3 linked regions of the Xenopus tropicalis genome follow. The protein of the gene in region 3 interacts with the protein of the main gene of each other region in a biochemical or structural test. Links are inferred from orthologs where the notes say so. Each region holds a gene or a part of one and is shown on either strand. Other genes may lie near its edges. The genes, in order: fgfr3, fgfr1 and fgf9.

Region 1 (3,652 bases), on a different chromosome or scaffold from region 3:
AAGTAATTTCTTTATGCATAAATCCTGACTTTATGCCAGGGTGTAGGGGGGAGGAAGGTTAGCTAGTTGTGGGTCCTGTTGCGCTACAATCCAATGTATTTCAGTGTTGAAGAGGCAGAAAGAGCTGCAGATGTTAAGTCACCCAAGGAACCAGAGAGACTGTTATCAGAGCACCCAAGGACTTGATAAAGATTCCTTTCTTTCCTTTCATACCAAGATGATTGTTTTGGGTGCCTATAGTTTTACCTGATGCTGGTTTGTAAATGTGGAGCCAAAAGGACGCCTCAGCTACGCCTATGAAATTGTTGGCTCTACACACATACTGTCCTTCATGGGTCTCTGTCACATTTTTTAGACTTAGGGTAGTATCGACTTCAGTGCCATTGGTGAAAGACTGCAGGAACAGACAGATGCTGTGACTTTGGTTAAAGGGTAAAAAAAGGAACATTGCTACGGATACTAGATAACACATTGTATTGCTGAGATGTCTACAGGTGAGGTCCAAGCTGGGAGAACTGCCTTTGAGTCCTTATACACAGACTTTGATTCCTGCTGTAAAGCCTGTAAACATCATAAATGTAACTGTTCTGGATGCAGAAACCAAATACAAGTCAGGCTAATATTAATGTAAACACAGCCATTTGGCGGCCATCTTGTATATAACCCACAATGCACTTCTCAGCATTCTGGGATTGGAACCTAATGCAAGCTGTGTCCACATGTCAGACAAAAACAAATGAAAATAAAGCAGAGGCTGAAATCTGTTTTTAATGGATTCTTTAAGAATATAAAGGCATGGTCTGTAAATCTGCTGAGAGGATATTCAGCAAAGACAAACACTGGCCGAGAAATTCAGCTTCCTACCCGCATTAGTGTAAATGCTGTCTCAATTACCCGGATTTATAAATAGGATCCGGAGACAAAATATAAGCAAAAGCTGCGGTCTGAAGCTGCCGGTGACATAGCCCATTATAAACAGGCAGTGTGCCTCTCCACACCAAAGCTTTTTCTTATAATCCCATATATCCCTAACTAGTGATGTACGAGGAGCAGCCAGAAGCAAAGGATTATGGGGCTGCAGTCTATGGAAGAGGCCTGTGAGCTTTATGTCATCCTAACATTGAGTAGGAGGCAATGGGATCCAATGAAATGTGGTTATTAAAGGGGTAATACATGGCAATGGTATCCCTTTAAAAAGGAATTGTACAGACATTTGGTACAGGTATAGGACCCGTTATCCGGAATGCTCGGGACCAAGGGTATTCCAGATAAGGGGTCTTTCCGTAATTTGGATCTCCATACCTTAAGTCTACTAAAAAATCAATAAACCATTAATTAAATCCAATAGGGCTGTTCTGCCCCCAATAAGGAGTAATTATATCTTAGTTGGGATCAAGTACAGGTACTGTTTTATTATTACAGAGAAAAGGGAATCATTTAACCATTAAATAAACCCAATAGGGCTGTTCTGCCCCCAATAAGGGGTAATTATATCTTAGTTGGGATCAAGTACAGGTACTGTTTTATTATTACAGAGAAAAGGGAATCATTTAACCATTAAATAAACCCAATAGGGCTGGTCTGCCCCCAATAAGGGGTAATTATATCTTAGTTGGGATCAAGTACAGGTACTGTTTTATTATTACAGAGAAAAGGGAATCATTTAACCATGAAATAAACCCAATAGGGCTGTTCTGCCTCCAATAAGGGGTAATTATATCTTAGTTGGGATCAAGTACAGGTACTGTTTTATTATTACAGAAAAAAGGGAATCATTTAACCATTAAATAAACCCAATAGGGCTGTTCTGCCCCAATAAGGGGTAATTATATCTTAGTTGGGATCAAGTACAGGTACTGTTTTATTATTACAGAGAAAAGGGAATCATTTAACCATTAAATAAACCCAATAGGGCTGTTCTGCCCCAATAAGGGGTAATTATATCTTAGTTGGGATCAAGTACAGGTACTGTTTTATTATTACAGAGAAAAAGGAAATCAGTTTTAAAATTCTGAATTATTTGATTAAAATGGAGTCTATGGGAGACAGGCTTTCCGTAATTTGGAGCTTTCTGGATAATGGGTTTCCGGATAAGGGATCCCATACCTGTACAATACAAAAAAAGAAAAAACAGCATTGGTCTGCGGCACATTTGCTATAAGGCAACTTACTTGCAGCACGGTGACGTAAGGATCTCCGTCTGGGCCGTACTTGCTGCCATTTACTTCCACGTGTTTCAGCCACTGAATATGAGGCTGGGCATCACTGTACACTTTGCAGTGGAATTCTACGTCGCTCCCAATCACAACTGTTTGGTTAGCAGGTAACCCGGCCTGAAGGATAGGCCGATGAGAGGACCGCTCTACAAACCGGAAACAAGGCTTCATGTTAGGCTAAAGGGGTGCAAACATGGCGACTCCCACTCATAACTACAGTCATGCAAGGCAGGAATGTTCTGGGCACCTCATTCATTTGCACTACAGCACTAAAATAACTTCCCAAATAATGGTAATTTCTGACCACTAGGGGCACTGTGTCTCAATAGAGAGGACTACCATTACCATCTCTGGTAACAAAATGTCAGCTCCCATATATTTCCCATATCAAATGGGAGGCTTATCTTCCATTAACTGTAGTTCAGTTTTCATTTATATGCATATCCTTTAGACATTTCTATTTAGAAACCCTACAGAACGCCGGAGATGATGTGTCACTTTCCTTTGGCCCCCGAAGAAGAGGCACGGAACAGATAAATACAAATGTCCGTGGTTACAGTGCACATCATTGTTGTGTCTATTGACATTTTTCCATGAAATTACAGACTCGACTCCTTCTCCAGACCCGAGAGCCGTTTTCATGCTTAAACCCATCTCCAAGGCCACAATATTTTTTAAACAAACTTCCATTAAAATATTTGGTTCCCCCCACCAATCTTTAAATAAACAGGTTTTAAGGTGTCCCTGCCAAAGCCCTTTTCTGGCAGATTCTTTACCCTTTCACTGGACCTACATGAAAGCTCCTCGGAGATGTTGTTGTACGTGAGGCCTAGAGACCTGAATCCCTCCATTTCCTGAGGAGGCATTGTACCACCTGAAGCTCATGAAGAAACCTCTATAAAAAGCTGGCAAGCCACCGCAACATTAGACCTGGAACCTGCCAGCAATGGAGTTACATTTCCCGGGATTTAGGCAACCATTAGGAACCTATTGTAGGGCTGCCAGGAACATAATCTCCTCACCCATCCGCAGCTATAAGAGCATAAACAGCACAACAAACAAAACAGGTATTGTAACCCTAGCACACACAGCTCCTTCAGCAGCCACTAAAGGGTGGGAGGGTCCCCAACAAGGCAAGTGTTCAGGGCCTCTCATGCATATGAATGATACAATTTACATGGAATTAGCCTTACTATGAATGGGCCAAATAAGCTCAAGTTGTTCTAAACTAATGTCTAGACAAGCAAGCCCTTGACGTTCCTAAAAGCCATTTCCTCTACAGCACCAGCATAGATAATGCCCGGTAGCCTTACCCAGGACGTCAAGTTGATAGGTTTGACGGATGCTTCCATACTTGTTCTCCACCACACACGTGTAGTTGCCTTTATCCGATGGGACCACGCTCTCCATAACAAGGCTCCACTGCTGATGTCGGA
Region 2 (3,652 bases), on a different chromosome or scaffold from region 3:
AATGGCTCAGGCACATTGAAATTAATGGCAGCAGAGTGGCCTCGGATGGCTTCCCGTATGTGGAAATCCTCAAGGTAAATACATCTGTTGTCCTATGTGCCATGTGTTGTTTGGCTCCCTGCAAGGCGAGACACTCCTTCTGTTACAGTTACGCTTATTTTCCCTTCCTTTTGTTGTTTTTTTAATCCACCTATGACGCCCTAGGAGGACAGAGTTGCAAACAGATGCAGCGTGCTGACTCTCCTGAATGTAATTACCAATAAGTGCATTATTTATTAACCAGGGTGCTGCTAAATATAGCTGCGGACACAAACACGTCCCGGCTGCTTTCTGCGTTTTATCTTCAGGAACAAGATAGGTAGAGAGTTGCGGTAGGTCTCTCTCCCTTTGTCTGGAAAGTCATTTTGAATTTTCACCGAGGAGGAGCAGGCACACTTAGTTAGCAGTGATCCCCAACCAGTGGATCAGGAGCAACATGTTTCACCAACCCCTTGGATGTTGCTCCCAGTGGCCTCAAAGCAGTTGCCCGTTTTTGAATTTCCAGTTGAATTTTGGAGGCATAAAGACCATGTGTCCTGCCAAACAGAGCCTCCTGTCTGCTGCCAGTCCACATTGGGCTACCAGATAACAAATCACAGCCCTTATCGGCCACCCCTTTGGAACTTTATTCATGCATGGGTTATATTATTTAAATGTTAAATGTTGTTCACAGCTAAAGGTTTGGGACCCCTGGTCTATAGTATGGCAAGGGTGCTTTTGTTATACTGCAACTCTCCCCATTACAGTAGGTGTTCAACAGCTGAACAGCTTCTGGTTGAATTCCCTTGAACGCAGGTCATAAATGTTGCTTTTTATAAATACTTATGCCCAATATTTTACCCTTTCCTGCAGTTCAGCCAAAGGGGCATCAGTGCCTACCCTAATGCACTAAGCAGAAAACAGGCATCAAAACTTTCTGACAAATGTTAACATCCACAAACCTTGGTGGACCCAGGTCTCACTTCCTAGAGTTTGTCATAGTATCTAATGATTATGTTATGGCCTTCCAGGAACTCCTAGCAACCAATTAGTAAAAACACTGATTGTTTTGAGTTGCTGGCCTGGTTTAACATTCATATATCTTTGTCATAAGGTTTTAAACCCATTGTACATAGAGCTTGTTGTACCAGCACAGTAGTAGTGTTCATACTAACACTGGGCAAATATCGGCACAGTGCAGTAAGTCCAAAAACCCTACATGTCTCCAAAGTTCCATCCTGAAGTTCCACATTTCTTTTTTTAATCTTGATCCAACCTCTCCCTTGTGCCAGGGGCACACTGCTCATGCTCAGTCTGATCATTATGGAGCAGACCTTAGAACTAGCTCTAAACATTTGGTGCACTATTTATGCTTTGAGTGAAGATGGCACAGGAGAGTTTAATAAATGGCCACAGAGGCATTTATATGATGTTTGTGTATGTTCGTCTTTCCTTTGTCATTTTGATTCCCTCCTGTTATCGGTTTGTTTCAGCACTCTGGGATTAATAGCTCAGACGCAGAAGTTTTGACCCTTTACAATGTGACTGAGGCAGAGAGTGGGGAATACATATGTAAAGTGTCCAATTATATTGGTGAGGCCAATCAGTCTGCGTGGCTTACCGTCACCAGACCCGTGACAAAAGGTAAAATCGGTGGCACCTCCTGGAAAAAAAATGGTTTTGGTACAATATCTCTGCCAGACTCTTGGACAGAAACAATTATATTTCTTCCCCTTTTTAATGTGCTTTTATTTCCATGGAAAAATACTTGGTGTGTGAGGCTGGTTTTAGTTTCATTGTGTTTCTGCTTTATTCTCTTATTCTTTCCTTATTTCTAACCTGTTTTTAATTCGGTATTATTATTTCTTTCTTGTTTTACACACTTGAGATTTCTACCTTCTCCTCAACCCCACATGATATTGATTTATCAGCCATGTTTGTTCTAAACTGAACTGACCTAGGCTAGTGTTTATTTTTGCGCACAGTAGGCTGATGGGAAATAAGATATGGCCACCACACAACTAAATTTACCATCTCCGTTCCACCGGCTTCCATCTCATGAAGTGCCCAAATTCCCCAGGCAGCATACTGAATGTACCCTGTCTTGGAAAAAAAGGAAAAGAGCCACTGCATAGTCACCATAGAAGGCAGTGGGTCCCCTTTTAGGATTATTTGTAATATGAAACACTCATATATAGGTATATCATGCCACATTACAATGGAGTGATATCTAAAGATAAATGGTGTAGCCAACATATCTACAAAACTTGGCTGAAGTAAATATCCACGCCTAGTGGCTTCTGCTATATTTTTCAATAGAGTATGCACCAGGAACTACAACTGGCTGTAGCGTACTGGAGATGTCCTTGGCACTTCTGTGCTCATTGTACCAGATCCCCATGACCATGTGACTTTTCTTTATTAAACGTCTTTTATTCTGAAAATGTTCTCACAGTTCCTTCTATCCTAATTTTCTTCTTTAGCATCTTCAACTCTGTCCTAATTCTATTCTTCATCATCTTCTCTGTCCTATTTCTCCATTTTCTTCTGTCTTAATTCTCTTTTACCCTGTCCTAATTCACCTTAGCGTCGTCGTCTTCTCTGTCCTGATTATCTTCTTCAGCATTTCCCTTTGAAATTAAACCAGGCTTCCACAACAGGTCTCATTTTTCCATGTTGCCAATCTCTAGCATGTTCCAATGGGAAGGAGGTCTCGATTTTTTTTTTTGGTGACGGGTTTAACCAAGGTAGCTTCTCCTTAGGTGGAACTTGATGGAAGAAGCTATCGTAAATCTTCTAACCAGGTTTCTTGCAATGGTTTCTTTTCTTTATACCCTGGGACCTCTGGTTCCAAGGCAACAACCTGCCTTCTGCTCTTTTGGTTTCTGATGGCTTTTCCTCCCTCTACGATGCTCTTATCTGTAGACTGCAGGAGTCAACACCTCGGACAAGGATATGGAGGTTCTCCACCTGAGAAATGTTACTTTTGAGGATGCTGGCCAGTATACCTGCTTGGCCGCTAACTCCATTGGGATATCTCATCATTCTGCATGGTTGACCGTTCTTGAAGGTATATATGGTTCTGTTCTGTCCTATCTGACTATACCTCTAAACATTTCATGCATTTCAGAGCCAAAGGATTCCAACAAAGCAAACACATATAACAGCTCTAATAAGTGATTATTTTATCATGAGTTGGTCAGGTTATATTTAGTGTATTAGTACAAACTTTATCATGTAATAGCCTCTTTTTTTGCCATTTAACCCAACGGCTACTCAAATGGTCATACTTTTGAAAGTAAAGACATTTGAGAAAATGAACATAATAAATCAACAAAATATACAGCAGGCAAAGCAGAGAGAAAATTCTCTGCTATCTTTATGAGCCTTTTCCTATTAAAGAAGAATTCTAGTATAATGACACTGTTGGGATCTTTGTATAATTATACACTGTAACATACCACCTTCAGTTACATTGGGAATAGCCTAGAGGAAGGAGAAAATGATGATGACAACCTTGAATAAAGCTACACACACACTTAGGCTTGTGCTAAATCCCTGTGTTGTAAAATATAAGAGTGTAGGTTCCAATTCACTCATTCTCATTTTAAATGGCTTGACCACCCAATAGCAA
Region 3 (4,357 bases):
GATCCTACCTAAGCTGAATGAATCCACATTGGTGGCAAATCAATCATATTGGGTTTATTGAATGTTTAAATGCATTTTAGCGCGCTTAAGGTATGGAGATCCAAATTACAGAAAGATCCCTTATCCAAAAAAACACAGGTCCCAAGCATTCTGGATAACAGATCCTAAACTTGTAATTTTTAAAAATTTTAATAGAAGGGGCACGAGTTTTTATGTACTGACCACTAAACTCCACTTAAACTTTTGATAAATCTGCCCCTAAGTGTCCCAACTTTGAGGGATGGGGGAAAAATAGGTCAGGGTACCCAGTCTGCAGCCCTCAGGCTATTACTGAACTACAAATACAGCTTCTCCTGGGAACTGTAGTTTAACAACAGGTAAAGGGCTCACAAAATGCCCTCTCTACCCCAGGGGCAAAACTAAAGCTGGCCATACACACACCGATGAAATCGTAGGAAACCTCGTTTTGTCTGATTTTCAGACTGTGTGTGAATTATTGTCCTGATCATTTCCGTACCTTGGCAATCGGTTGTTTAGGTGATCAGCCAGCTTATAAAATTTTGGTGGGATAATGATAAAATCTGTGAATGTATTGTATATCGACGATATCCTTGGGGGGCCTACAATGGAATTCACTTTCGTACGATGGGTGTCTGCCAACTATTTCATGTTAAGAACATCCTCTGATTTGTAGTTTAAGGGCTTTATACTACAATATCAGTTTAAATGATAGTTTCAGATTGTTGCATTTAAACGTACAACCAATATCTGAACATTTGTCGGATAAAGACTAGAATCAGAGCTTGTATGGCCACCTTAAGGAGAGGCGGCTACCTAGGGCAAAGCTTGAGAGGAAGGAGAAAAATGTCAGAATTCCTGCAGTTTCCTCTGCACCCTCTCTTCACAGAGCACTGGGATGGGGGACTGGCACAAGCGGCGGCTGTGGGGACCATTTAGGAGGGGTTGCTAAGTCTGGGGGTAGGTGAGTAGAAGGGTAGGGGCAGAAATTTACTTTGGGCAAGATTGGGCACCCATATGTTTCAGCCTGGCACTGCTGTACCCTAACCTAGAACTGTCCCCTTAGTGGTGTAACTAGAAATTCCTGAACCCCACAGCAAATTCACTTTATACACCGCTCAATTAAAGAGTGGGTTTTCCTTGACATATATAGAAGGGGCCCCTCATATCTCCTGTAGCCATGCCCTTGTATCTTCTTGTTCAGTGGCCCATTAATAAACCTGGGGCACTTATCTGGATAACAAAGCAGCCATGCAGCTTGTCTCTTCGGTAAGTGCCCGGTTAAAAGAAGAAGTCATTAGGCAGCTCCTCAATATTATTCATATCCAGGAAAAAAAAAAACAAGAAACCACACTAATCTTGCAAGGACTTTAGACTGCACCTCCGTACGAGCCACAGACAGGGATGAGAAGCAGAGGCAGCAGTCGCTTGTGGCGTTCAGCGAGTTCTCCCAGCGCCGCAGCCGGCGGGCAGTAGGACCCAGAGGCAGAGAGCGCCTAACTTAAACCCAGCCCAATGCCTGGCTGCTGCGCCACTCTGCGAGCTGGATGGAGAGGCTCAGTCAGGAGCCGCAGCCTGAGAGCTGGAGACTTCCCAGGGAGCCCGCCTGCACAGCAGCAGCAGCAGCAGCACTAACACCTGTTCCCAGGCAGCAGCAGCCCATGCTCCTTCCTGATCCCCCCTGCAGCAGCAGCAGCACCACTGCAAGCCAGACCCCTGCAGCAGCAGCACCTGAAAAGTTTCCTTTCTATTTATTGTGCTGCTTCCTCTCGCTGTTATTATTCCATGCCCTCTCTAGCTGGGGCTTCATGCTGATCTATGCAGTCTGGGATAGACTAATAACAGCGCATGCCTTCCTCTTGTGTCAGGAGCCACAAATCTGACGTAGCCTATGGTTGTGCATCTTCCACCAAAAAAAAGAGAGAGAGAGAGAAATCTCCACTGATCGCCTGGCTAATTAAGTTGCTATGAGCATTGTGATCCTAGAGCAAATGGAGCAACTAGGGATTTTACCCCTGCCTGCCATTGGATGGACTGCAGAGCTGCCAGACTGCTGAGGGGATAATCATGTGGAAGGGGAGAGATGTCAGTGTGTGAGCTCCTCAGACTAGCACAGGCTTGACCTTGAACCTGCCAGCAGAACCTTTACTTTTATTGATGCACTGAATGGATTGATCTCCCTCCTCTCTGCTTCCCCAGGAAGAGTGGATACAGTATATATATTTTATACATATATATATATATATATATATACACACACACCTGAGCTGGGCTATTCCAAGCTCATTATCTGCTTATTCATCATCAGGGCGAGAGAGGAGAGAGCTGCTTCTGATGGCTCCCCTGGGTGAAGTTGGCAACTATTTTGGTGTGCAGGATGCAGTGTCTTTTGGGAATGTACCCGTCTTGCAAGTGGATACCCCTGTGTTGTTAAGTGACCACATGAGCCATTCTGAAGCAGGGGGGCTCCCCAGGGGCTCTGCGGTCACTGACCTGGAACATTTAAAAGGGATTCTCCGAAGGAGGCAGCTCTATTGCAGAACTGGGTTTCATTTGGAAATCTTCCCTAATGGGACTATCCAAGGGACCAGGCAGGATCACAACCGATTTGGTAGGTATTGTCTTCTGCCGCCCCCTTCCCGGGGATAGCAATTCCATAGGCTGCAGCTCTCCCAATGCAGGTACTCGCTCAGCAGCTGAGATGCAGCAGCCGGCTAAAAAGGCAGCATTTGGCCATGCAGCAGCGGCGGCTGTGAGAGCTACTTAATAAGAGCATGCTGTAAAGTTTCATTTATTGCACTGTATGTGGGCATGGACCAAAGCAGCGTTATATGGACTTTATAGAATTCTGCCAGTTGTTTCAGCAGATACTGGGGCAGGGCAATATCCCATCCCATTCATTTAGAGATGTCTGCAGTCTTACAGTTGTTATTTTACTATAATTCCCAGCATCCTCTGATAGTGAAACAGATGAAAATCCCTACCTTATTGCCTGTCTGCAATGCTGTATTTAGGAATAAACACCAGGGGTTGTTGGCACCCAAGTGTCAGCTCACCTTTGCTTCTAACTGCCAGCTGATATATGATTTTATTATATTTAAGTGGTGCAATTTATTGATTTGGGTCAACACTATATTATTACGATTCCCCAAGTTTATCAGATTTAAACTCTGGATTTTATTTGCCCTTAGGAATACTCTGGTTGCTTGGCGTGATATTTATAGTCTGGGATTTTCTTGTTCGGTGTACCTTAGCGCTTGGGGGCTATCGAACACAACAGTCCAATTTTAGAAAGGTGTGGCCCCTGGGGGGTTATAGCATGAGCAGCACAAATGGTTTGCCATTTGCTTTTCCCAAATTCCTGTGTGATTGCAGTTATACCATCAAGGACCCATCTGCTGTATGGATGGATAAAGACACAGGACTAATTTTAAAGAGCATGCCTTGGATTTCATTCTATAGGGTGCTATTTGTGACTCAGCATTAGGAGCTGGAGACTGGAGGGCGCAACCCCCCCACCCATATGCTTTTAACTCCTTCCCAAGCTGAAGAAGAGAGAGAGAAATTTTGTTCTGCATTGCTGCATTCAGGCAGGGGCCAGACCCAAATGAGATCCCTGCAAAGCAGTGCTGGGGAAAATGTATTTAATATTCCCCTGCAGAGGGGTGGGGGCATCAATATCTAACTGTGCCAGGGTCAAAACCCACCTGAAAACTGTATTTTCATTTTTAACACTTTCCAAGCTGTATAGAGTAAAGTGCAGATAAGATTCATGTTCCATGTCAGGGGGCTGGGGGGGCATAATGATTACACACAGTGAGTGGCCCCCAGGATTCAGGAATTAGTTTGCTAAATGTGGACCCCAGTCCTACTGTATGGTGTTTCTTATAGAGATGATGATGATGAGGGACCAAGGGCACAGGAATGAGCAGGCATCTCTCCATCATTCAGGGAAGTTGGACTTTTTCCATTCAAGCAGGTCCAACCTTTGGTCAGAGCCCCCTTTAATTTATAAGAAGATTAGAGAGTCAGGGTTTTAGCCATAGTTCCAAGAATATGTAGAACAAAAAAATTAGTTTTTACTCCAAATTACTAACAGACATTGAAGCTGGACTTTAAGGTATATGTATAAACAACCCCCCCCCCCCAAGTTTTCACCCTAACTGGCCTTAAGGCTGAGACCCCCCTGCCGCTGCTGCAGGGCCAACCCCACAGTGTAGGGAAGCTCTGCCTTAGGGAAAGCCACAGGGGCAGGGGAGCTGACTTCCAGCTAACGGGGGGCTATAAGTCTGGGATAGGTGGGGTCCTCAGCTTTGCGACTGAACCAGTTTCCCGCACT

What was found.
Region 1: the proteins of fgf9 (region 3) and fgfr3 form a complex in vitro, tested with the Homo sapiens proteins (3 studies listed by BioGRID and IntAct, with this or other methods). The link is inferred for Xenopus tropicalis from reciprocal best matches to the Homo sapiens genes FGF9 and FGFR3.
Region 2: the proteins of fgf9 (region 3) and fgfr1 interact in a biophysical measurement, tested with the Homo sapiens proteins (2 studies listed by BioGRID and IntAct, with this or other methods). The link is inferred for Xenopus tropicalis from reciprocal best matches to the Homo sapiens genes FGF9 and FGFR1.

Annotation. Positions count from the first base shown.
Region 1 is NC_030677.2:20,895,745-20,899,396, reverse strand, and holds part of fgfr3 (fibroblast growth factor receptor 3), read right to left. Parts: coding exon 3,530-3,652; intron 2,363-3,529; coding exon 2,172-2,362; intron 395-2,171; coding exon of another isoform or gene 247-394; intron 1-246.
Region 2 is NC_030679.2:130,977,139-130,980,790, forward strand, and holds part of fgfr1 (fibroblast growth factor receptor 1 precursor), read left to right. Parts: coding exon 1-74; intron 75-1,511; coding exon of another isoform or gene 1,512-1,662; intron 1,663-2,943; coding exon 2,944-3,088; intron 3,089-3,652. UniProt on the Homo sapiens protein: Tyrosine-protein kinase that acts as a cell-surface receptor for fibroblast growth factors and plays an essential role in the regulation of embryonic development, cell proliferation, differentiation and migration.
Region 3 is NC_030678.2:157,500,648-157,505,004, reverse strand, and holds the start of fgf9 (fibroblast growth factor 9), read left to right. Parts: upstream 1-1,536; 5' UTR 1,537-2,352; coding exon 2,353-2,629; intron 2,630-4,357.